2 linked regions of the Oryzias latipes genome follow. Each later gene encodes a partner of the first gene's protein in a complex. Links are inferred from orthologs where the notes say so. Each region holds a gene or a part of one and is shown on either strand. Other genes may lie near its edges. The genes, in order: pak1 and dcp1a.

What was found.
Region 2: pak1 (region 1) and dcp1a share a complex: the UniProt entries of both Homo sapiens proteins name them as parts of the cytoplasmic complex. The link is inferred for Oryzias latipes from reciprocal best matches to the Homo sapiens genes PAK1 and DCP1A.

What each region holds. Positions count from the first base shown.
Region 1 is NC_019871.2:4,526,059-4,537,803, forward strand, and holds part of pak1 (serine/threonine-protein kinase PAK 1), read left to right. Parts: exon of another isoform or gene 1-46; intron 47-1,959; 5' UTR 1,960-1,986; coding exon 1,987-2,182; intron 2,183-5,922; coding exon 5,923-6,017; intron 6,018-7,477; coding exon 7,478-7,625; intron 7,626-8,999; coding exon 9,000-9,037; intron 9,038-11,100; coding exon 11,101-11,214; intron 11,215-11,745. UniProt on the Homo sapiens protein: Protein kinase involved in intracellular signaling pathways downstream of integrins and receptor-type kinases that plays an important role in cytoskeleton dynamics, in cell adhesion, migration, proliferation, apoptosis, mitosis, and in vesicle-mediated transport processes.
Region 2 is NC_019865.2:7,298,815-7,311,141, forward strand, and holds dcp1a (mRNA-decapping enzyme 1A), read left to right. Parts: upstream 1-4,422; 5' UTR 4,423-4,461; coding exon 4,462-4,593; intron 4,594-4,887; coding exon 4,888-4,928; intron 4,929-5,415; coding exon 5,416-5,543; intron 5,544-7,666; coding exon 7,667-7,733; intron 7,734-7,912; coding exon 7,913-8,051; intron 8,052-8,229; coding exon 8,230-8,310; intron 8,311-8,479; coding exon 8,480-9,049; intron 9,050-9,142; coding exon 9,143-9,367; intron 9,368-10,014; coding exon 10,015-10,095; 3' UTR 10,096-11,701; downstream 11,702-12,327. Other genes in the region: cacna1d (voltage-dependent L-type calcium channel subunit alpha-1D), read right to left, coding at 503-536. UniProt on the Homo sapiens protein: Necessary for the degradation of mRNAs, both in normal mRNA turnover and in nonsense-mediated mRNA decay. Removes the 7-methyl guanine cap structure from mRNA molecules, yielding a 5'-phosphorylated mRNA fragment and 7m-GDP.

The sequences.
Region 1 (11,745 bases):
TTGTGGATCAATTTTGATCTTGAATCCATTATTTTTTTAACTAAAGGTAAGAGCTTCAGTTTCACTTTTAATCAAACCAAAATCTATCTTTGGCAGAACTTTTAAGCTAAATCAGCAAAAATTGGTCTAATTTTATTTTCTTTCTAACTTATTTTGAAAAGCAGGAATGCGTTTTTATGGGAGTGAAAGCATGTTCACGGTGCCTTCACAGTTCTGCAGACAGACCAGTAACTGTTCATACCCCGCTGCTGCAAATCTATATCTATGTATAGATCTGAAATGGGAATTGAAGCCGTCTGATTCCATCAAATGCCTGAAGTGGATTATCGGAAACATTTTCCCAACAAAATGGACATTATGGTTTACACGCCTCTGTCTGTCATCCTGTCATGAAAGTTATTCTTCTTCCTATTCTTGTTTACCTGAAGTGGACTTCTGCTGTCACAAATGTCATAAAATTAAAATAGCATGGTAAAAGTCTGTCACGCACACACAACTGGTCAAAGGTGTCCAAGTTATTTTTTTTTTACAGTTCAAGATAGTAGAGTCCGTAAAAAAATATTCAAATCGTATAAAATTAAAGCCCTTTCCATTAAACTGGAAACAGATTCACATCTTAAATCTGTTTATGTTCAATGGAAGTTGGTCAAGATTCAACGGTCTGCTGTGCGGTGTGTTGTTGTAACACAGCTCTTTGGTCTTGGTGCAGAGGTTGTAGTCTGACTGTTGAAGGGTGTGGACAGGTGGCTTTTACTCAGATAACCAGTTCAAACCGGGGACATCACCACAGGTAAAGAGTGGGGAACAGAAGGGCTTCTTAAAAACAAGGGACTGGTCTGTAAAGGACGGGAGTTTTACTCCATGTTGGAGATAAATACTTATTTTCTGCACTATTATATAAATCGATTCTATAAAATTAAACGTCTTGCAGAATTTGTGACTGATTAACTTTATTTTACACCAAAGTGTCTATAGATCATTTTTAGTTAAAAAGATCTTCGCAACTTTAATTTGACCCCCAACTGCGAATGACCTCTAAATGCTTTAAAGATTTAGTAGTTCATTATGTTGTGGGTTTCATTAAACCGCATCTTGATTGCTGATTAACTTAGGATTCAGCAGTGCAGATAGGTGGCAGGTTCCTCATTCCTGCTGTTTCCTAAAAAAAAAAAAAGCAAAAATCTGTGTATAAATACTTTTTGCATTAAGTTTGTGGAAGTACCATTGACTGTAGGAGAACAGGACTGTGTTTTGTAGGCGTCACCCATAGGAAATAGTTTACTTCCAGCCAAAGTCACACTGAGGACACATCAGTCTTCATTTTTTGGTGATGTGGACACCAAAGCGATTGGTCTGTGTTAACGTTTTTATGGCAACCACTCTGGTTGGGCGTGGAGGTCAGCAGGCCCCTCCTACTTTTATTTAGGCTTCTGTAGTTCAAGTCATGTTTTGAATAACTTGAACTACAGAAAAAAAAATATCATGAAAAAAGGCAGCAGAGCAAGAATGATTATTCTGACAAATAGAATGACAGCAATAGCTGTCCTGAGATACAGTCAATGGTATGTACATTATTTAGTGTGTAGTGGATGTTGATGTGGGTGAAGCTCTGACCTACATAGGTCCATCTCCAGGGTTTGTGTGTTCACTGAAGCATTTAGCAGACCAGGTTAGCCTGCAGTTTGTGTCTGTTTTTTTATTATTTTTTATTTTTTTTACAAAAACCAGCTCTTAAGAATATATAACTGTATGTCTGTAAATGCAGGGTATGGTTTTTACTTGGGGAGCAATTGGAAAGCTAAATTTGTCAAGATTTATTAAAAAATAAATATAAATAAACAAAGAATTAAATAAAATGGTCGTGAAATCAGGTAATTTCCATGACTGATCTGACTCGTGATTGGGCGTTTGGTCTAGGCCTTGCCCAGCCCTCACTGTGACCCTTCTGTGTCCGGGCAGGAGCGGTCGGCCGCAGCCTGTCTGAAGATGTCCGATAATGGGGAGGTTGAGGACAAGCCTCCAGCTCCGCCCATGAGAAACACCAGCACCATGATCGGTTCGTGCAACAAGGACGCCGTCCCGCTCAACCACGGCTCCAAACCCCTCCCACCAAACCCAGAGGACAAGAAGAATAAGAAGGACCGCTCCATCCGATTCATCCTGACGGGCGGAGGCGACAAAAGTGAGTTTTGATCACTGTTTTCATTTCTTTCTACTCATAGATTTTAAAACTAAACTCAAACCAGCTTGAATCTGGTTCTAAATCCATTTCAAAAACAGAGAACTTAAGGATTTCAATGAAACCTACCTTTAAAGCAGCGTTGAGAGCAGCGTTGTTTGGCCTGCAGGCGCTACCAACGCTTTGACCCGGGCCCTGGTTGAGCGGCTGCTACACGCATCTTTTTCCCGCTCTTTACCAGCCATGCCGACTCTTTATTTAAATTGTATCAAATAAATATAATAAAAGAGTAAATAAAACAATAATTCAAATTCAAATTAATTTTATTTCTATAGCACCTTTCATGTAAAGACAACAGCTGTACATAAAAACAGACAAGAATGCAAAAACACCACTGCAAAAAGTAAATAAATAAGCCCCTCATAATAGAATACACAAAAACAAGCACAAGGAAAAGAGAAACGACTTTGGAAGAAAAAACCTTAAGAAGAGAGAACCAATAAAGTGCCCTGTCCTCCTGTTGGCCTGGGTGTCAATAGACACAAACCCCCCAGCAAAGGGGGAGAAAACACTTGTAAACTGTCTAAAATGTAGAAGTGATAAATAGAAAAGTTAAAATATAAAAACAGCTGAAATATAAAAAATTAAAATAAGTTAATGCATACAAAGTCTAAAACCATGGAAATATAAATAAGAATAAGTTAAGATGTTGAGAATATAAATAAATAATAAAAAACACACATTAAACAAATAAAAATGTAGTAAAATATCATAAAATATAACAGTAAAATGTTTAGATCCGCCATAGAAGATCTAATTTAAAGGTGAATTAAATAGATAGGTCTTTAAGTTCCGGCCCCCCTCTATGTTTGGTCCGGCCCACTGAACAATATCAGAGACCCATGTTTGTTTGTTTTTTTAATCTGGCCACACGATCAAGATGTGACATTTTCTTCCCCCCTTCTGCAGTCTGTGGTCCAACCTGAAATCCTCTAAAATCTCTAATAGGCAGAACAGAAGACAGTCGTTCCTTTCTATGTCGTAGTTCATCTTTCCCGGTTTAGCTCGTTCCTATAGAGCGATCATGCTGACTTTTTTGAACAGGACACCTGTCCTTATTGGCTAGAGACCCTGTCAATCAATCTCCTCAGTCCATGCCGAGTCTTCTGTACAGAAACGCAGAGCTCTTCAGATCAGAAATCTGTGATCGATGATCAGATCTTTGTTTTCATTCTAAGATCCTGGACCTAATTTCTATGAAGGTTTGAAAATTTAAACACAAGAGAGAAAAGGGTGAAAATGTTCATGTCTGTCTGAGAAAAGTGTATAAAGTGGGCAGTGAGGAGTTTTACTGCCATAAACGTCTGTAATCATTCTCCGTGGATTTCACAGATCACCGTTATTTTTAGAACGTAACTCCTCCTGCAAGAAACGAGGAACTCTGTGCAGAAAATGCAGAAATATGCGTAGCTGCAGCAGAAGACAGAGAAATATGCTTTTCATTATTAATGGATGAGAAACAGACGTGCAGGACACACAACTGCTCAGTTTGAGCACAAACTGTGAGACGAGTGATGAGCTGCAGCCCTCAAAGTCTTTATTAGGGTTATGACGGGAAAGGATCGACTATTTATTTATTATTATTATTTTTAATGTATCAGTATATTTTTTCTGAATTTTTGTCTTTGAAAATCATAGTGTTATTTGGTCATTGTTTTATTTTATAAATAATGTTATTTATTTTATTAAAAGGATCATGAATGAATGAAACTTTATTCAAATAGCACTTTACAACTCCTTGAAGGTACCAACGGGCTTCACAATCAAAAAGAGATCTAAAATGGGAACAAAAGTTTCAAACTAAGACTAGAATATTCTGTAGAATATAAATTTAAAATCCAAATGTTTTCACCCAGATTCCATGTTATATCATTCTCACTCCACACATCTGCTCCTGATCCGGCCCTTCTATTGAATTTTAGAACCCAATGTGGCCCCCGAGTTAAAATAATTGCCCACCCCTGCTCTATCACATATGGTCATAAATTTGGTTGACAGATAAAATTGGATCTCATCTCTCTCAGTTTCAGAACCGATTACCAAGACTTCAGTTTTGTCTTGGTTGGAAGGCAAAAAGTTCCCTCCCATCCACATTTTTATCTAAAATATAATTTAAAAGGCCATCCATGGGTCCAGTGTCGTCAGGAGACCCAGCTACAAACAGCTGAGTGTCATCAGCATAGCTATGAACGTTAATGCCGTGTCTCCTGATGACAATTAATAATAATCCGTATTGTTTCTGTGCATTTACTTAGAAAATAATTAGTGCGCAAGCAGAATAAAAGTTTGAGTATTTTTATGTTGAACGGGATAGAAATGTTGTTGTCGTAAGAGGAGATGAAACTGAAATTGAGATCATTTGTGAATTTCGCTAATAAGCTTTAAGTTGTAGCCGTATTATTTTAGTTACACAGTCACAAGTTTTATATTTATTTGAAGTTTCAAAAATCTCTCCTTTATAGGTTCCAGCTGCCAAAGTTCAAAAGGTTCCTGTTTTTCTTTTCTTTCTTTCTGGGTTTCTTCTGATTTCTAAAACACGTCAGTGTTTTGTTTGCAGAGGAAATAGACGTTTTGTGCCGTCAGTCCCATTAAGATGGTTTGATCAGCAGTTAATCAGTTAACAGTTAAGCAGTTAGTCAATTATATTTTTCTCTAGTAGTACTGAGTTTAGCATGTTCAGGGGCCATCTTTGTCAGCCGATATGTTTGTTTATGAATTTAACTCTTTCAAATATGTAAAAAACAAAAAAAAATGCACAATTTAATGACATTTGACCCATGATGCTTTGCAGCTGACTGGTGGCCTTGTCTCATTGTTTGTCATCCCAGGAGACTCCATGAAATGTCATTTCCCAGGGGATTTCATTCTATTTCTAACATATGGCGTCTCCTTTGTCCTTTTCATCTCCAAGCTTTCTCTTTTGTGCTTTCCTTTTATTTTAATACCTTATGTCAGAAGTTTTATTTAATTTTGCGTTATATTTTTTTCTTATATTGTTTTTGTCATTATTTAAATTATTTAAATCTTTATTTTTAGGAAAGCCTTTTTTTGTTTGTTTCTCAGTCGTGTAGAACCATTTTGGTTTGTTATGTATGTATGTGTATCCATTAGGGATCCAATAATTATAATTCACTTTCTCCACAATTCGGTTTAAACCCTGATTTATTTTTTATTTTTTATTTTTTTGGGCTCACTGTTTTGTTTGAGGTTCGATGTATGATTTTTTTTTTTAAAAACAAAAAAAATGACAAAACACTTGAAAAATACTGTTTTATCATTGCTAAATAAGTCGGTAGCAATGAAAAAAGCCCTTTTTAAGCCTGGAGAAGCGTAATTGATAAGGAATTCTTGTTAAATTTAGCACAACTGTTAGACACTTTTAACCTAAACGTCTGTATGCAGTATGGATGCAGCCAAAGGCTTCCCCCACAGTGCAGATGTATCATATGGTTCACCTTTCAACCGAAACTGTGGCATCTATTACAGTATATTCACTAAAAATGACTGAAATTGTGAGTTTTCTTTCAGAAATGTGCTATATTAGGTTCTTTTTTGCCTCCTTATTAATCCTCCTTTCAACAATCTTTTACAAGGCACTGAATAACATTTCTTTAAAGTTTTTCCATGACTTTGTTTTTCAAATCTTTCAGTCTGACGATACCCTTTCTGTCCTTTTGGTTCAGCCTATAAGAAGAAGGAGCGTCCAGAGATTTCTCTGCCGTCTGACTTTGAGCACACCATCCACGTTGGCTTCGATGCCGTCACCGGGGAGTTTACAGTGAGTTTGTGCGCTTCTTCTTCCTCCGTTGGGGCCGTTGATGACGTCGAGGTGCGTGGATCGGGGCAGGTGGTGGGGGGAGGGGGGGTCTCTGAGAAGGCTGCATGCAGACTGCAAGAAATACACTTGCAGGTTTTCTGTCGCCCGTCTTGATGGTTTTTTATTGTTTTAAGCTTCATTTGAATGTTTTTGACTCCTGTTACTTTTACTGACCATTGGTCAGTGGTTTGTGTCTTCTATGTGAAGGATTTTGCACCAAGAAGTGCGTAGTGGCCTTTTAATTCTGTTTCAACGTTTGATGCTGGTTTTAAGGATGTTTTGAGTTTCTTTGTAGACATTTTAGATCTCTCGGGCAACGGTGGGGCCGTGATAAATTGAGCTTTTGTACCAGCAGTGCATTCTCAACGTTGCGCACGATTACTGTAGATTTATTGGAGGCTGTGGAATCTTTGATTGAATCCACTGAAAATCCAGGATATATTGAACTCCTCAAATTGAAAAAGTTGACTTCGGCGCGCCTGCTGGACTCGGGGGGGGGGGGGGGGGGGGGGGGACTTGTTCGGTCCAGGTTTCAGGATGTCCCTGAAATGTCCAGTTTTAATGGTACTTTAACTATGTTCATTGTTCTGTGTCCTGTGGTGAACTATGTTATGCTGCTTGTTTTCTTGTTATCTGTGATCCCTGATTAAACCGACATTTTAAAAATCAAAAATCTTCTTTTTCTCGTTCCTCTCCTCCAAATGTGTTCATACTTCAACGGATTCGCTGGAGGCGGCAGCGGTGTGTCTGTGCACATTTGTCTGGTGTGCTTACATAACTCTTTTAATTGGTCACCAATGGGACCCTGATGGTTGTGTGTTTGTCAACAACATGCTCTGAAACACACACACATAGGGGCAGAATAAAGCTTTTTAAATAATCACTTTAGACAAAGACGCCTTGTTCCGCTGACTCACTCGGTCTGCATGACCAAGCACTTTTAGCTCCGAGTTACGCAGCGAGTGTGTGCGCGCGCTAGAGTTTTTCTTTTTCTGTAATCTGGGGCACTTCCCCTGATTCTCAATTATGCACACATGTACACGCAAAGAGGCGTGTTTGTAATTTTCGAAGTAACAACGGCGGCAGAGCGGAACCCGGGACGGCGTTTTCCCATAAAGGGAAGGTCAGACTCCAGCAGGGATGAGAGACGGAGTGATGAAGCAGGAAATGGAGGAGAATGTGTGATGGAATTATCCTGACAGATAAGCAGAGAGGAAGAGCGAGCAGGAAAACAAGGAGATGTGACCCAGTTTTGTGTCCAACATGAAAATGGGACCGCCTCGGTTGGACTCTTTATGGGAAACTTTGCCTGACGTCATGTTGATTTATCAAAATAAAAGATTCAAATCTGCCTTTATTGGCATCAAACACATGACACAGCAGCAGGTAAAGTGTGTTTGTGTGTTTGTGTGTTGTGGTAGGGCATGCCGGAGCAGTGGGCCCGGCTGCTGCAGACGTCCAACATCACCAAGTTGGAGCAAAAGAAGAATCCTCAGGCCGTGCTTGATGTTTTAAAGTTCTACGACTCCAAGGAGACGTCCAACAGCCAGAAATACATGAGCTTCACAGGTACACACACACGCACACACACACACACACACATAGGGGGTTGTGCGTCAGTACTAAACAAGATTTACGCTCATGTTATGGAAACTCATTATAAGGCTGCTGCAGAACCCAAATGAGGAATAAACCAACGTGAGCTGTTGGAACGACATGAAATGAGCAACATAAGGAGAAAATATTATTAGTAAAAATTAACATTGATGCGTATATAGATCAAAAGAAGTTTAAAAAGGGCATAGGATGAAAAGATCCATCTTTTTTACACCAGGTTATTGTTTTAAAGTGCAAATGAATAAATATTTAAGTTTTTACTGGCCCTGGTGATACAGATACTTTTGCATCACAATAAAAAAATTAAAACAATTTATTTTGAAAATCAGAGTTTCCCCAGTTTTTTTTATGAACCTTCTTCTATAATTTAATACTTAACCAGAGCACTTTTGTGAAGAAAAAGGTTCAACTATCAACTAGAAAATTCACGACTTAGTCTTGGGACCGGTTAACAAACCAAAGAAAAGTTGTAAATTTACCAGAAAAAAGTCGAAATAGTCAAATTCTGAGAATTAAGTAGTGTATTTAGAGGTTTTTAAGAAGAGGCTCAAGACCCACCTTTTTAGTCTGGCTTTAACATGACTTTGATCATTTCTTATGTCTTTTATTATTTATCTATTTATTAATTAATTTACGTATTTATTCATTTATTTATTTGTAAGGACTATTATTATCTCTGTTTTTAATATGCTATTCTTTTTATTGTTATTTTACCAATGATACTAAGGTTATGTTTTAATCAGTTTACATATTTTATTTTTTAATACCTAACATTCTTATATCTTATTTTAATTTTTATCTTTTTCTATTTTTATTGTTGTTATTTTATGATAATTTTTATTCTGATGTTTTTTACTCCAGTGTTTCCTCTTGGAATAAAAAAACTCAATCTTTTTATTTCTTCGTTTGCATAAAGAAAAACCAATAGAGATATTTGATGACAGTTTTGAACGTTTTTTAAGAGTTTTGGAGCCTGGAAGTCTGAAGCTGTGAATATCTTGCTAACTTTACCGAACTGTTTTTGTGCGCCTCCTGCTGTGCTTTACGCCAATAAAATGTAATCTGTTCATGATATGCAGACCTCTAGTAGAATACTTATTTGTGGTAATAAGCTTGAAATATATGATCATAATAACAAGGAAATAATGATTCAACATCTGACTCCAATAAAGTGTGAAACGACGCGATTCGCCCGTATTCCAGTCACGTGATCGGATTGGGACATCCCTATTTCTTTAGTACTTGTATCACAATTGATGTTAGGTTTCTTTTAGATCATTTTTATAACATGTATCATATAATTTTTTTGTCTTTTTCTTATTGCAGATAAAAACCTAGACGTGTACAGCTCCTCCACCACAACGGTAAGACCGCCTCTGATTCGCTCCCTAAGGACACGTGACACATTTACTCATTTGTGTAAGAAATTAAGCAAAAGAAGAACTCAGAAACTAAAGTGACATGTTTTGTTTTTTCTTGTCTTAGTTCTGTTGGCAAAGTTCATGATGCTGTTGGTTTTAAAAGTTCCTCACCAACCTGCAAGGATTCCACAGCCTCACACAAAGCAGCGTGGAATTATGGTCATTACTCGCTTGGCAGATCTCTTTCATGCCGGTTGCTGTGCGTTGTGTAGACCTAAGAGAAAGAATTCAGTCCTTAGTGCATCTGCTGACTCGCCTGAAAGCGGATTTATCTAAAGCAGAATGGAACAATCCTTAAAGTAGAAAGGATAAAATGAGAGTTTGACAACAAACTCAAACGTAAATGCTAATTTTGTAGCTGGAACGAGGCATTTTTTAAAATTTCCCCACAATACATATTTCAAAAGAAATCTTTTTCAGACTTCTTTTGAAAAATATTTCTCTAAAGAGTAATGTACTAAATATTATTGTGGTAAAACGCGTGTTTCAAAGGAATTTAAAAGCATATTTAGGGAAATCACTACTTTTCCTTTCAACATGGGAGCCCATTTGGTAGAACAGTTGCAATCACAATGGGGCGCTTGCCAGTGTTTCCCCATTGACTGTATATGAGAACTGAACTGAGTGACTCCGCCCCTCTGACGTTTAGAACAGGAAGTACCTGCTGGCTCCAAGATGCCAAAATCCCATATACGTCATTTGAAAAAAAATAGCTGTTACTCAGTCATGCTATTGGTTAGAAAAACAAATTTTATTCTGATACTTTTTTTTTAACTTGTTTTTGATAATCATAACTTTTTTTTAATTATATGTTTTTCTTTATCACAAGTTATTCAGGTTATAAATTTATTCCCTTAAAAAAAAGTATGTGATCCCCGCTGGCCCCCCAAGGGCTTCGCAATTAAAGAAAGACAAGCGCTATTTTATAAATAAAGTTTGATTTGATTTGATTTGAAAAGACGTTTAAAGTTTTAAAGAAAAAGAGTTATTGTGACCCTCACTCGAAAACGTTTGGGGACCCCTGCTCTAGCATCCGTGTGGTGTTTGAAGGTTTGTTGTTTTTCAATCTTCCAATCATTCAAACACCACATGAACGCAGCATTTCTCTAAGTTTTACACGAAGTACATCAAGCCATTGGTGCAACTGGCTCTAAATTGAGAACTAACGTTTTAACCTAAAAACTCTAAAATGCTCTGTTTTAAAATATAATTTTAAATCCAACTGCTTTTCATCCAGATGCCATGTTATTTCTTTCTCACTCCGTGCATCTGCTCCTGGTCCGGCCCTTCTATTTAATTTTAGAACCCTATTTGGCCCGCCAGTCAAAATATGTGCCCAGCCCTGCTGGTAGATGTAAAAATCGCCCTAAAAGATTCAAAATTAAATTAAATATTTACATAACATTCATAAAATATCTTAAACCAAATATATCAACTATATTTTGAGGCCAAAAAAGGAAAAAACAAAGTTCTGATTGTGTGTCGGAATGCTCCTTAATCAGAGACTCTTGCAGTGACAGACTGCTTTTGAACTCGATTTTGTTTCATTTCTGAACGTAATGGTGAAGACAACGATGAAGAACAGCAGGAGTTCCTCCAGATGTACTCCTCTGTCTCCTCCTCTGCATTATGAATCAGCATCTTGTCTCCTCGCCATTTGCCCGTCCCTGCAGCTTGGCCACCAGCCGAGCATCGCGGGCAGACAGAGGAGGAGGAGGAGAAGAAGAGAGGAAGATGTAGCATCACAAGCCACACCTGAGCAGAGCTTTCAGACGGCAAAGGAGATGACGGGAGGCGGGCGAACAAAAAGATGGAGGGAGAGTTGAAAGGGTTGAATAAGACCCAGAGAAGAAGAGCTGAAGACGGGCAGGAGGAATGTCTGCCTGATGAGATTAGGAAGCATCAGAGAGCAGCAGGAAGCAATGATGGGTCTCGTATCGATGATCGCTCATGTAGCCATGGCGTCACTCAGGCTCCTCCCTCTCTCCCCCTGTGACATCATGCAGAGCACCAAAGCCGTGTTGGAGACTCCCGCCATAGCAACCGTATCCGAGGATGAAGACGAGGAGGAGGTGGAGCCCCCGCCGGTGGTTGCGCCCCGTCCAGAACACACAAAATCAGTAAGAATTTACTTTTTTGTTGTTTTTTGTATTATACTTCTTAGTAAACTTTTAGTAGAGACTTTTTAAAGTATATTTCATTTTACACACTTTTGAAAAAAAGACAGATTGGTTTTAAAAGAAAACATTGTTTCAAAACACACTTGGCTACATTTGATATCAAATCAAAACTTTATTCATAAAGAAGTTTTCATACAAACGTAACAGGAAGTGCTTATATACTTTGCTTAAACAGTATGTTTTAAGAAATAAAAGTATGTAAAATTTGTCCAACACAAGAGGCCTTCACGTCCTTTCTCTCTGCTGGACAGAATGAAATTTAAAAATAAATAAATAAAACTTTGGTAAGGAGCAGGCCCACCCCCCCTTCCCCTCCCCTTTGCTGGGAGCTTGGAGCATGAAGCTTGCCCACCTAGCATATTTTAAGATCAGAATTAAGCGCTTTTTCAAACGGAAAATTTCCTCTGCTCCTGATTCACAACAGTTTGGTTAAAGAAATACTCAGAAATTACATTTTATGCTTGATTCTCT
Region 2 (12,327 bases), on another chromosome or scaffold:
CGCGCTCACACACAGCGCCCGTCAGCCCACTGCTGTCAGTTACTGCGCTGTGGCGGAGCAATGCAGCCATAATCTCCACGGGCGGCATTATTCTGGCATCACTCTTAATGTCAACGCACTTGTTGCTGAGGAGCAACCCTCATTCCTGTCGCAAACCTATTGTTATGTTGTACACATTCAGAATATTTTAAGTAAGTACAAAATAAATTTAAATTCTCAGAAATAATCCAAGAAAATATGTTAGGGGTTGTAGGTTAACCGTTGTGTAACAGTAGCCTCCTAACAGGGTTTGTCCACAATTTACGCATTTTATTAAAAGGAATTATATTTACTCAAAGTTTTCAGCAGAATTTAGTTTTCTCCCATATTAAGCCAAACAATGAATAAAACCAAACCGCTCTTTGGAACAAGTTATCCTAGCCTTTGCTTCTTCTTGTTGGTCATTGTCATATGATGATAAATGAATTACCAACGCCATAAAGCAACAAATCTCAGGACTTACCCCTGAGGGGTCTTCCCCTTATAATCAACGGCATTCAGTCACCCAGCTCCTCTCTGAAGCCTCATAGCGCCGTTTTCTGGGCCAACTCTCCAACAGGGGGAGAGGTAATGAGTTGTTTCAAGCTCTACGGGAAGGTTACCAGTGATTGGATTACCTATGCCTGGATGCAGGATGAAACTACTTCATGGTAGAGCGTAATCCCTCAACAATAATCCCTGCACCAGTGTTCTATTAAGCAGGTAGCAACAACACTGTACCAAAACAATGATCCATCTCAACCCTAAAAGGCCATGACAGACCCATAACAAGCAAGAGGGTACACACATAAATAGCCGGGCTAAAACTACAGATTGAAGCAAAGTCCAAAATTCTTCTGCCTCCTAACAACAATGTTTTACTTTTATTTAACCCATTATTTCACAGCCATTCCTTAATGCTTTAGTGTGTAGGGTCAGCATTAAAACTCCCCCCCCTCATTTTTCATTTTTAAGTGTAATCGATTGGCTTCTACTAGACAAAATCTCTAAACTTTTGTTATAGTTAAACATTTGTTTTATTTTTTGCTTTCACTGTATTGAATAAACCTATCTTAAAAAGGAAGGAAATTTGTGTTTGATAAAAAAAAAAAACTTCTGTTGTAATATTTTTCTAATCCTCTTTATTTCTAGATAACTTTTTTACAGTCAGCTTCTAATTCAAAGGGTTTTTGAGGAGCCTCACAATCTCAGACCACTCATCAATGCATCACAAAAACATCAGAAATATATCTTACACTCTTGGAAAGTTTGTAAATTCCCAATGTGGTATGTTCCACATTTGAAAAGAACATGCTTTTTTGAAGCATATAGATTTAATCATTTCTTTTTCTTTGTAGCATTTTTGGGGGGGGGGTTGGCAATCAACTATTTAATCTTTTCAAAATTTGCTAAAACCTTTCTGGTGAGGCCAAATAGCTTTAATTAGCCTACTAGTCACTCATTGACTCAGGTGCTTCCAATGAGGTTCCTGATTGGGAGCACCTGAACGCATCCACCCTGCTACAGTGGTCCTTAGCTGTACAGTGCCTGAGCAGTTTAGGTCAACTTTGAGGTAAAGTTCTCAAAAACCAAACATTACATTGAGTGAAAGAATAGAATGGCCTGCATAGTTCTGACTTCAACCTCACTGAGCACTTGTGAGTTTAGCTTGACTGTTCAATTCTCCCAAGTGCATAACACAATCTGGTTTAGGACAAATCCTGGTTAAAGAGTGGGATGCTCTCCCACAGCTGAAGGGATTGCTGTGACATACGCTTCTTTAACACTCCATAAAGACTCGTCTATGAAAGCAATAAACTGTTAAATTTGAATGTCTGGTTATTTCCAACTGTACTCAACCAAGCAAAAAACTTGAGTCATGGCAGAGGAAGCTGGTTGGCAATGGCAAAAATGGAATGACAAAAATTACATAGAGACAGCCCACATATTCAACTCTGCTACTCATCGCACAAATTTATAATTACAGGAAATAATGTATAATTTTAGAGGTCAAGATGGCTTTGTAAAAGTTTTTTTTTTAAATAATTGTTAGACAGGCCTACATAATCTATCCAAGCACATATTTTAAGAATTTGTGCTGGAATTTGGCTCACACATAAGCTTAATCACTTAATGAGGAAGATTTTAAGTTGTTGTTTTTTTAAGCAGTCGATCACATGTAAAAATAAATATAAACATGTTCTACTCATGTTTCAAACTACTTTTCAAAATGTAATTCAACACAGTTGAAGCTGTTACATTGTTCGTTCACTTGGTTATTTTTCACCAATGTTTTTATTTTTGATTTATATTTTGATACGTAAACTAACAATGGAAAGACACGGAGATGCACGTTGTTCTGATTTGTTTTAAATAAAATAAATATAAATTAAGGATTTCTATCTTTCTTCCTTTTTTTCACAGAAGTTGCAGAGTTTAGTAGAAGTTGTTTTTTTATTGAACTTCAAACAAACAAATACACATAGCTACAACAGAAAGAAATAAAAAAAGAATAAAATACAAATAAAAGAACAATTAAAATAAAAAAACATTAAAATTGTAGTTTACAATGCTAGGGGTTGTCATACAACATGTAATCTTCAATGAAAATAGACAGTTTTATTGCATTTTTGTTTTTTATTAATTTCAGAGATTTAAAATATTAACTGATCTCTATATCAACTGTATTAAATAATGGTTTGGTTTTGAAATTCTGCTCTTGTGAATTAAACATTTCCCAGATATTAATAAAGTATTGAATGTCAAATAAAATAGATTATCACCAGAAACCATTCCAAATAATATGATGCGCTTTTGTAATTGAATAGAAATAGGAAAGGGAAACTTTGAGGAGCACCAAGAAAAAAAATCCTCCCAAAAATTGTTAACATATATACATTCCAAAAACAGATGATCAAGTGTTTCTATATTTATGTCACAGAAAGAACAGTTATTTTCTGGAAAACCAAAATGTATACGTAGTAGTTCTTTGCACGGATAGACTGCATTCTTACATCAAAATCACATTTTAGGAGGAATTCAATGCCCCCCAGATGGGAGAAAAAGTTTGAAGGAATATGAAACAAAATATTTATTTCATTTTGCAGAAAAGCCCTAAGCCAATTTATTTTAATCATACTATTCAAACTTTCAAAGTCTATGGCTTTAAATCCACCTTCACTGTAATCCTGAATTATTATTCATTTTTTATGTAATGAGTTTTGTTTTTCCAGATGAAGTTAAAATTGCCCTGGTTTCTTGTTTTCCTTGCAGATTTAGGAATTGGGAGTGAATATGCTGGATAAATGAATCTGGATAAACAATCTAATTTAGTGAGAAACATTCTGCCCAGAATAGAAATGTCACGCTGTGACCACATGTTTAAATTTACTTACAATTCACACTTGCTGAGATTTAGTTTTAAACCAGTTGCTTTAGAATAGGAATCTGCGGTTTGAAAGATCTCCGGTATTTGATGACTCTCCTTCATGAATACGGCCGTGTCGTCTGCCAGCTTAGTAATGGCTAACTGTTCTCCCAGGACATTGAGTTTACAGAAACCAGAGTTTGTTATAAGTATTGATAACATTTCTGTTGCTGTTATAAAAAGCAACGGTGAAAATTGGACAGCCTTGTTTAATTCTTTTGTTAATTAAAAATCTGGGAGAAATGCCATTCGGTGAAATAACTACACTGTTCGTATCGTTATAGATTGTTTTAACAAAACTTATGAAATTAGGTCCAAATCAAAATAATTCTAACTAAAACGTTTATCCAGAACAGATTTAAATTAAACATTGAGACACTTTGTAGCTTTGGTTGTGATTCCCCTGAAACAGTTATCCATCTTTTTTGGTATTGTCCCAAAGTTAAGGTGTTTTGGCAGAAGATGTGTGATTTTATTAATGATAAAATTGATTCTTGTTTTGTCTTGTTTTGGAAAGATGTCTTGTTGGGTCTAATATAAAAAAATATGCAAAAGGACTCTTGTTTACTTCTAAATCTTTTACTCATTTTGGCAAAATTCCATGTTCATAAATGTACATTTTCAGGTAGAAAACCCTGTTTCACTGTATTCTTTTCTAAATTAAATCAGTATATCAACAGTATTCGAAATTCAGAGAAGCAAAAAGCAATCAGAACATTGTCTGTATGTGATAGATTCAGTATTTTTTCGTAGAGTTTAACCCCCTGGCTTATAACTATTTCTAGTCTTGTTCTTCTGTTTGTTACAGAAGTGTATTTGATATTTGCAGTTGTGGTTTTTTTTTCATACCTAAAAGTACATTTTTGTAAAATGGCATAATGTGCAATAAAGTTGAGCTTTAAAAAAAAATAGTGGAAGTGGGGAACTATTTTTGAGCGCCGCCACTTCCGGGGACAAGCGAAGTTGAAAGTGTTTCAAAAAAATTCGTCCGTGTAGGTACAACAGACCGATCCAAGATGGAAACTGTAAGTGCGGGACATATGATGAGCTTAGCAGCTCTTCAAAGACAAGACCCCTATATAAACAAATTACTAGATGTAACTGGTCAAGTTGCACTTTACAACTTTAATTCTAAAGTAAACGAGTGGGTAAGTTCATTAGTTACTTTATGATTTTCTGTGATTCGAATGAGGCTTTATCATCATGTTTACTTAGCTCATGGTGCTAGCCCTCGTTAATCAAAACGCGACAGTAGCACTATGTTCACTAAAGCTTTACCGTACGTGGACCTTTATGCTTCGTTATTTTAGCTAATGCTATTTCTAGTCCTTTCAATTTTTGTATTTTTAAATGTATTTCCTTTAGTTAAACTATTGTTCACAGATTCGGCAGCACCTTTTCAGAACATGTTTTGACTTGTAATGTTATTTTAAACATTTTAGGAGAAGACCGACATCGAAGGCACTCTGTTTGTTTATGCCAGGTAAGATTAGCACTTGAACTCGTAATTTGATTGTTTACTTCATCATTGGGTGCTCTGCGCATGTGCACAGGCCACCGTAGGCGTATTTGTAAACAAATCGAGAAAACTTGCCCCAGCCTAGATTTTTATGTTTACAGTACAAAAAATGAATTTTGCTCATCAAACAATTTGCCAAGAAAACTGTACATTTATGATTTAATATAACTGACTTTTTTTTGCCTCAGAAATTTTTAAATCAAGTCATGTGCATTTATTTTCTGTCTTTTTTAGAAAATCATTAGGAAAATTAACAATAAAACTTGTTTTTAAAAATTGCCAGATTATATTTACCTTTAAACAAAGAATTGTAAAAACTAGAAATGTTTTTATCAATTTTGAAATATCCAACATTTCACTGTCATAAAAGTTTTTTTCAAGTGTTTTTTAATTGCTTTGTCAACAGTAAACAATGAAGCATTATCAACAGAGTGATGTTTGTTCCTTTTAGGTCTGCTTCTCCTTATCATGGCTTCACCATCATGAACAGATTAAGTACAGTCAACCTTGTGGAGCCTATTAACAAAGACCTGGAATTCCAACTGCAGGATCCTTTCTTGCTCTACAAGAATGGCAACTGTAAGTGGTTTGAATAAAAATCCTCATCAAAGTATGGAAGAGTTGTAATCATTAATTTAATTCAAAAGTGCTTTATAATGATGTTCTATTTAAGTAGATTTCAAGGAATAGTGATCTTTTGAAGCTACAAGGTATTCATTAAAACCAGGATGAGGCTGCCCACATGATTATAGAGTGAAACGTCTTGAGTTGAGATGAAGACATGCTGATTTAATGCTTAGATCACATTTTTTGTTGAAAATAGGAAGTCGTAAAAATTTCTGACCACATTGTCGATACAAAATTAGAATAAAGCACAATTCACTGAGTAATCCAGGACATTTTTGCCAAAGTAAAATGGAAATTTTCAAGTTAACTCTTGTTTTTTAAATACGCCGTTTTATTTGCAGCTTTTTTGTCCATTTCCTTTATTCTTTGTGAACCCACCTTAATGTATAAGTCATTGTAGTGCACCGCGGATTCACAAACTGTCAAAAGTGGCTGTCATACCTAGTTTGTGAACAATCTATTGTTCACAAATGCTCAAATAATTCTGACAGTACCTCTGAACATTCTGGATAAACACCTCCCCAGTGTTCGGTGGAACATCTCTTCTCCTTTTTGCTTGAACTCATGGTGACTTCTTGAAGCATTAAGCAGGAACACTTTGTCATTCATGGCCTACAGCGGCCTCGTAAACAAGCGCTTCCAGCTGGTTTTGCAACAGTTATCCTTCGCATTTGGGTCAAAAAGCAAAAAGAGTTCAAAGTTTCATTCATCAAACTTCTTCTGCTATAATTGTTTTAGTTTGCTGATTGTTCAATCCTGTAATTTCCTCCTGGAAAAATGGGTCAAATAGAAAAAAATTGCGCCATACTAGATCTTCAAAAAGTAGCTGACAGCACTTCCACCAAGATAATCAATGAGGAGTCTGAGCAGAAGTTTCATCAAAGCGATGAACAAAGAATTCGACTGCTTTCCCATTTGTTTGCTGATGAGAAAAGTTAGCATAGCCAAGGTTAAAGTCAAAGTGGATTGTTCTCCTTTGGGCTTTGGTTTTCCCAGCAGCCTGGCAGGTATGGAAGCCATGATGCAGTGTTTTGTTGGTGATCCAATATAGTCTGCTTCTCCAGTAGCTTCACTCAAGTCTTCGGGGCTTTTGTCATCGCTTACTTCCTTTCTGTCAGCTTTAGTTTCAAAAAGATAAAATGAAGAGCAGTTTTCTCAGGAAACATTAGCTGATAATGCTCCTTGAGTTGAGGTGAAGATACATCCGTCTTGGCAACTAAGCTTTTCTCTGCAAACGTTAGTCGAAGTGGTTTTTTTTTGTTTGTTTGTTTTTCCGTCGGTTGGTTTTCAGTCCCGTCTCACTCTGTTAGTTTATCCACTTGTTTGGAGAGAAAAATGTTTCTGCGCTTTTTCTCCTTTAGTGTAGGTTTGGCTTTGAAGGTGGAGATTCCAATTCTGATCTTGAAAGTCCTGCAAAAGAACAACCCACCCTCTGAAGGAGAAATGTCACCATCAAAAACGATCAGGATCCAAATATAATTCTCCAAATAAAGGGTTTAAATGTTTACGTTTCGCTCCTGTGAGTGGTGCAGAGCTCACTGCAAATGTGCTTGGATGTGGAGAATAGTGTTGCAGAGAAACACTTGGACACACCTGTTTACACCTCATCCTTTTCCCTTTGGACGCTGATGGTGCTGCAGGGAGGCAAATGTTTTGGTTGCCGGGTTACTGTTGCTTCACAAGAGATTCAGACACCGGGATTTTACAACACACTTGCAACATAAAGTAATAACAACCAGATATTATTTTTACAGTTAAACCTTTTTGTAATTACATTATTTTACATTTCAGTAGTAGTTTGATCTGTGCGATCAAAGTCCTTTCATAAACTTCAGTTTTTAGTTTTCCACATCTGGTTCTTGGAAGAATTCTGTGAACTTCTTTTATTCTATCAGTTTTTTTACCCATTTTATTCAAACAGATGTTTAAACTTTAGGATTATTAAGTAAGCTTTAATATTTGATCTTGTTGTTGTTGAGAACTAATGATTAAATTAATCATTCACAGCCTTTTGGGGTTATTTTTTTGCATTACTGCTTTACCTAACAGAATGTCTGTTTCTATATTTCTTCTAGTGGGCATCTACAGTATTTGGTTCTATGACAAGAGGGACTGTCGGCGCATAGCTCAGCTGATGCTCAAGTAAGTGAGCTGAAATGTACCCAATAAGTTAGTTTATTAATGAGGTAAAACTGTAGGTGAATTCAAAATCCTATTTGCATTAGTATTTCAGACGTGTAAATGTACCAAGGAACCAAATGAAAAGTTTGAAATGATACAAACAGTGCTGTACGGGACGTTTATAGTTGAGTCTCTTTCAGGATCGTGAAACAGGAAGCAGACCATGCTCAGAGAAAGACCCCAGAGAGGACGGAGGCCGCAAGAACCAATGGGATCACCGAAACGAAACCTATTGACATCCTGGAGCTGCTTAGCAAGGCCAAGGAGGAATACCAAAGAGTAATTACAAATAAAGTCTTACTCTGTTTCACCTTTAACTTAACTTTCATTTTTAAAATGTCGACTACTTTGTTTTAAGTGGTCTTCTTGGGGTGTTATTTTTAGTTCTAGTGGACTTTAACGGGTAAGATGAGGCCAATTTTAACTGCATTTTGCTTGATTTTCAAATGTGACGAAGGCCCAGGCAGGGGAATCGGAGATGTCTGTTGACACAAGTGTTAAAGTGGAACATCCACACAGAGCAGCGTCACCCGAAAAGGTATGTGCATCGCACAGGCTTAGTGAGAACCGTAAGTAAGTGAGATTTTGGGACCACAAGCCATTTGACATTTGGGTGATCAGTAAACTGAAAGCACATCTATCTTCATTAGTTCTGTGTCGGTCAGTTGATTGCTTGGTTAACAGAGTTGCTCTCCTGCTCTCATCAGAGTTCTCATACAGTGGTGAAGCAGATCACAGTTGAAGAACTCTTTGGATCGTCTCTGCCTAAGGAAACCTCTCTCTTCAACAAAGCTGCGCAGGAATCCACTTCTTCCAGTGACCTCCCTGCTTTTGTGCAGAAACCAGCGTATCCTGTTTCAGTTCATCAAAGTCCGCTCCTCACAGGCCACGATCCCGGGTCACGCCGGCAACAACAAGCCCCTAATCTAATCCCTTCTCCTTATGCAATGAACCCCGGTCCGGTTTTACAGCATGTGGTCCCACGGCCCGATTCTCAATCCCACTGTTCGGTCCCTCCTCTGATGATGCCTTCAGCTGGTTCGGAGCACCTCGCTGCATCGTCTGGTCTGACCGACCCTGCAACGCCTTCCACAGCCTTTTTGAGAAAGGAAATACTGGATTCAATCAAACCTGTGATCCCTTCTATGAATTCAGACGTCCACAAGCCCATGCTTGCACCCAACTTCATCCCAAACACTTTGGTTCCACCCCACAGCTTCCAGGAACACAACATGGACTTTTTCTCTAAGCCTCCAAACCTCATTAAGCCCATGTCTGTAAGTCCCGATTTGTTTGCTAAACTCATCAATGAGTCTTCTCTACCTTTCTCCCCTCAACATACAAGCAGAGAGCTGTCTTTGTGTTTGCAGACTCTCCCCATGAGTCCAGGTCCAGCCGTTCCAGGGTCAGAGATCTCAGTGCTTCTCTCTCCGAGTGTTTTCCAGCAGAATGTCAATAAAAACCCCTCAACAGCAGCGCCAGCGGTCCCTCCTGCGGCCTCTGAGCCGTCTTCAGCATCTGGAGGAGCTTTAGATTCTCTCCCAACCGCCTGCAGTAGAACTCAGCTCCAGGAGACTTTGATTCATCTCATCAAGGTAACCCAGTGGTATTTGACAGAAAGTGTGATGTTGGGAGGGTCAGAACCTTCTCCTGTATCACACGGTGATAAAAAAAATATTGGAGAATGTTACAGGAAAGCTTTAGTTCCTGTTAGATTAAAAAAAAAGAATAATAACTTTTTGATTATTATTAATTTTTTTTCAAAAATGTCTGGACTTTCACCGTACTTACTTCCAGCTCCAATGAAATGAAGTGGCCATTTTTTCACGATGTGGACGCTGCCATGTTGAAGCCAGACAATGTCAGTAAGAAGCGATTGGTCTTAGTCAGCGTTTCTATGCCAACCACTCTCACCAATCAAGAGTGAGCTTGTTGGAAGTCCACACCCCTACCACTTGAAAGCAGGATGGGCTTCATGAAAACCGTCAAATGTTTGGAACGTTAGACGCGGGGGCCAGTAAGCACCACACTTTATTGAGGCATTTGATTGGCCTTATATAACTTGAATACCTTGCACTACAGAAAAAATCATAGTTTTTAAATGTTAGAAAAGGTAGCAGAGCAACTTCCCAATAGAAGTCGATGGGATTTACTAATGATTCTGTCTTTAAGATATGAATCTAACTTTTTGTTTTGTCTGACTTTAACAGAGTTTGTTCTCTTTTGTTTCTTGTTTGTCCAGACTGACTCAGACTTCCTCAGTGCCATCCATAATGCATACCTGCAGAGTTTATCCAGAGATTTAGTAAACATGAAGCTATAGTCCTCACAGAAAAAAAGCTGAAGATCACAGGAGACACAAGAAAGGATTAACAGGGCATGCTCTACATCGCTAACACTGATGTCCCGGACATGTGGATCAACGTTTATTCTTCTACGATCAGAGAAAAACTTCTTTATGGAACAGATGTGGGAACAAGAAGACAGATTTTTGCTTTTCAGACTTTTCAAAAGAAAAGAAAATGTCAAACCACTGGCCAGATGTTGGTACTTTGTGGTTTCATTTTATTTTGAAGGACAGGACTACCATAACAGACGTTTAGTGAGATCATCGTTTTCTTCTCGTTTGGACTGTTGATTGGTTTTTCAGCTATAATAACAAGTAAACTCTGCTGTGTCTTCTGTTCATCACACAGAATTGTGGAGTTGAAGATTATTAGAAGAGTTATGACATTTATCGTTGATTAAACCATTTTTATGTGATTGTCTAGAAAAGCACTTACAGCTAGAAATCTCTTAATTATGAGAAAGTCCCTATGAATGGGTTCATGTTATGGTTTTGTAGAGGAGCTTCCTGTTGACCCCTCCTTGTCTTCTTGCATCTGTTGTCACATCTCCTTTATGAAGTTGGGGTGTGATGTGTGACAATACCACCACATGGGGCAAATGTATACTACCCTCAGGATTCTGCAGTTCAATTATCATTTAAAAAAACTCCAAAAATATCTGAATTCTCCCAAACAGCTATTTTAAAATTAACCAAAGGTGGAGCAGAGGAGCTTTTGATTGCTCCATCCCAAATATATATATTTTTTTACCCCCCCCCCCGAAGCCAAATGATTGAAAAGAAAAAATCACCTTTCTTTCATGTGTCTGTTTACAGTCTTTTTTATTTTTTTTTTGGTTTTCATTTTTATACCTGGATCATCAAATATTTGGTTGGTGAACTTGACTTGTGTATGTGCGGTAAAAATATAACACAGCACCAAAAAACAATGAAAACTGACCTAATGCTTATTCAAAACAGCTTCCAATATCGTCAAAAATATAGACCGGTGATGCCAGTAAAGAGGACAAATCTTACATCAGTGGTCATAAATGGAAAGAATAAACAAGATTTAATGGACAATAAAGAATTTTAGAAAAAAAATTAAGTTAAAGGTGTAACAACTGAAAGAAATCTCGATTTTCATCTAATTTATTTAGTATAAAAACCTAAACTTTAAGCATTAGTTCAGAAATAAAGCAATGTATTTTGTCTTTTTGGTCTAAAAAGTACACTGACATTTCATAATGATGGCATTAATAGCTTTAGGTCAGCTATTTGGATGTATGTGTTTGCTCTGAGTTTAAAAATTAACATCCATTTGTTTAAAAAAAAACTTTTTCTGTTATTTTGAAATCAATACATGATGTATTGATCTCATTGGAGTATGATACATTTACATTAAAAGCATAATTTGCTCTCATTTTTTGTTAAATAAAAATTGAATAAATGTATTTTTAATCCTGATTTCATATGTTTTACAGTTTAGCTTTAAAATAACTAATGTGGGTTTGTGCTAAATTATTGAAAGACATGTTTTGGTTTTACTCAATTGTTTGGCTTTTTGTGGTGTTAAATTATATAAATGTAAAATTTTCCCAATGCATAATGGTTCTAGAAAAATTCATCTTTACAAAAAGAACATTTAGATTGTTTTACAGAAGGTTTTCCCATAAAACATTGTTTTTATTTTATTCATTTTTAAATCTGGTAAATGTGTTTAATTACATTTGACCACTAGATGTCACTATTACCATGCGTGTTCTGGAAAAGGAAACGCCTCTACAGGGAACACGTGTTCCAAGTCATTTTCATCTCAACTTCAAATTTAAAGGCAAACTTTTTTTTGTTTCCACTGAACTCTTACATTTTTTGTGATTTATATTTAGAAAAGGCTATGTTTTACTGATACTGAGCTAAGTTTATTATCTAGCCCTTTTTTGCATCTTAATTTAGATTCCCATCACTATCCAGGATGTGAAATCTTGCAATTAATTCAACCAATTCGTGCTTTTAGTGCCTTTTACAGTGCTCATATAGATGTTGAAACAGAGAGACAGAAATTAACATTTAAAGACAAAAACATCACCTTATGCGATCAGATAGAAAACAGTGCAAAAGATCATCCCCATCCTACAGCTACAAGAAGACATCTCAACAAGACCAAGAACATCTGTAAACTTTAAAATCTAAGAAAACCTTCTGATAACAGAACCAAAAGACAGTTTC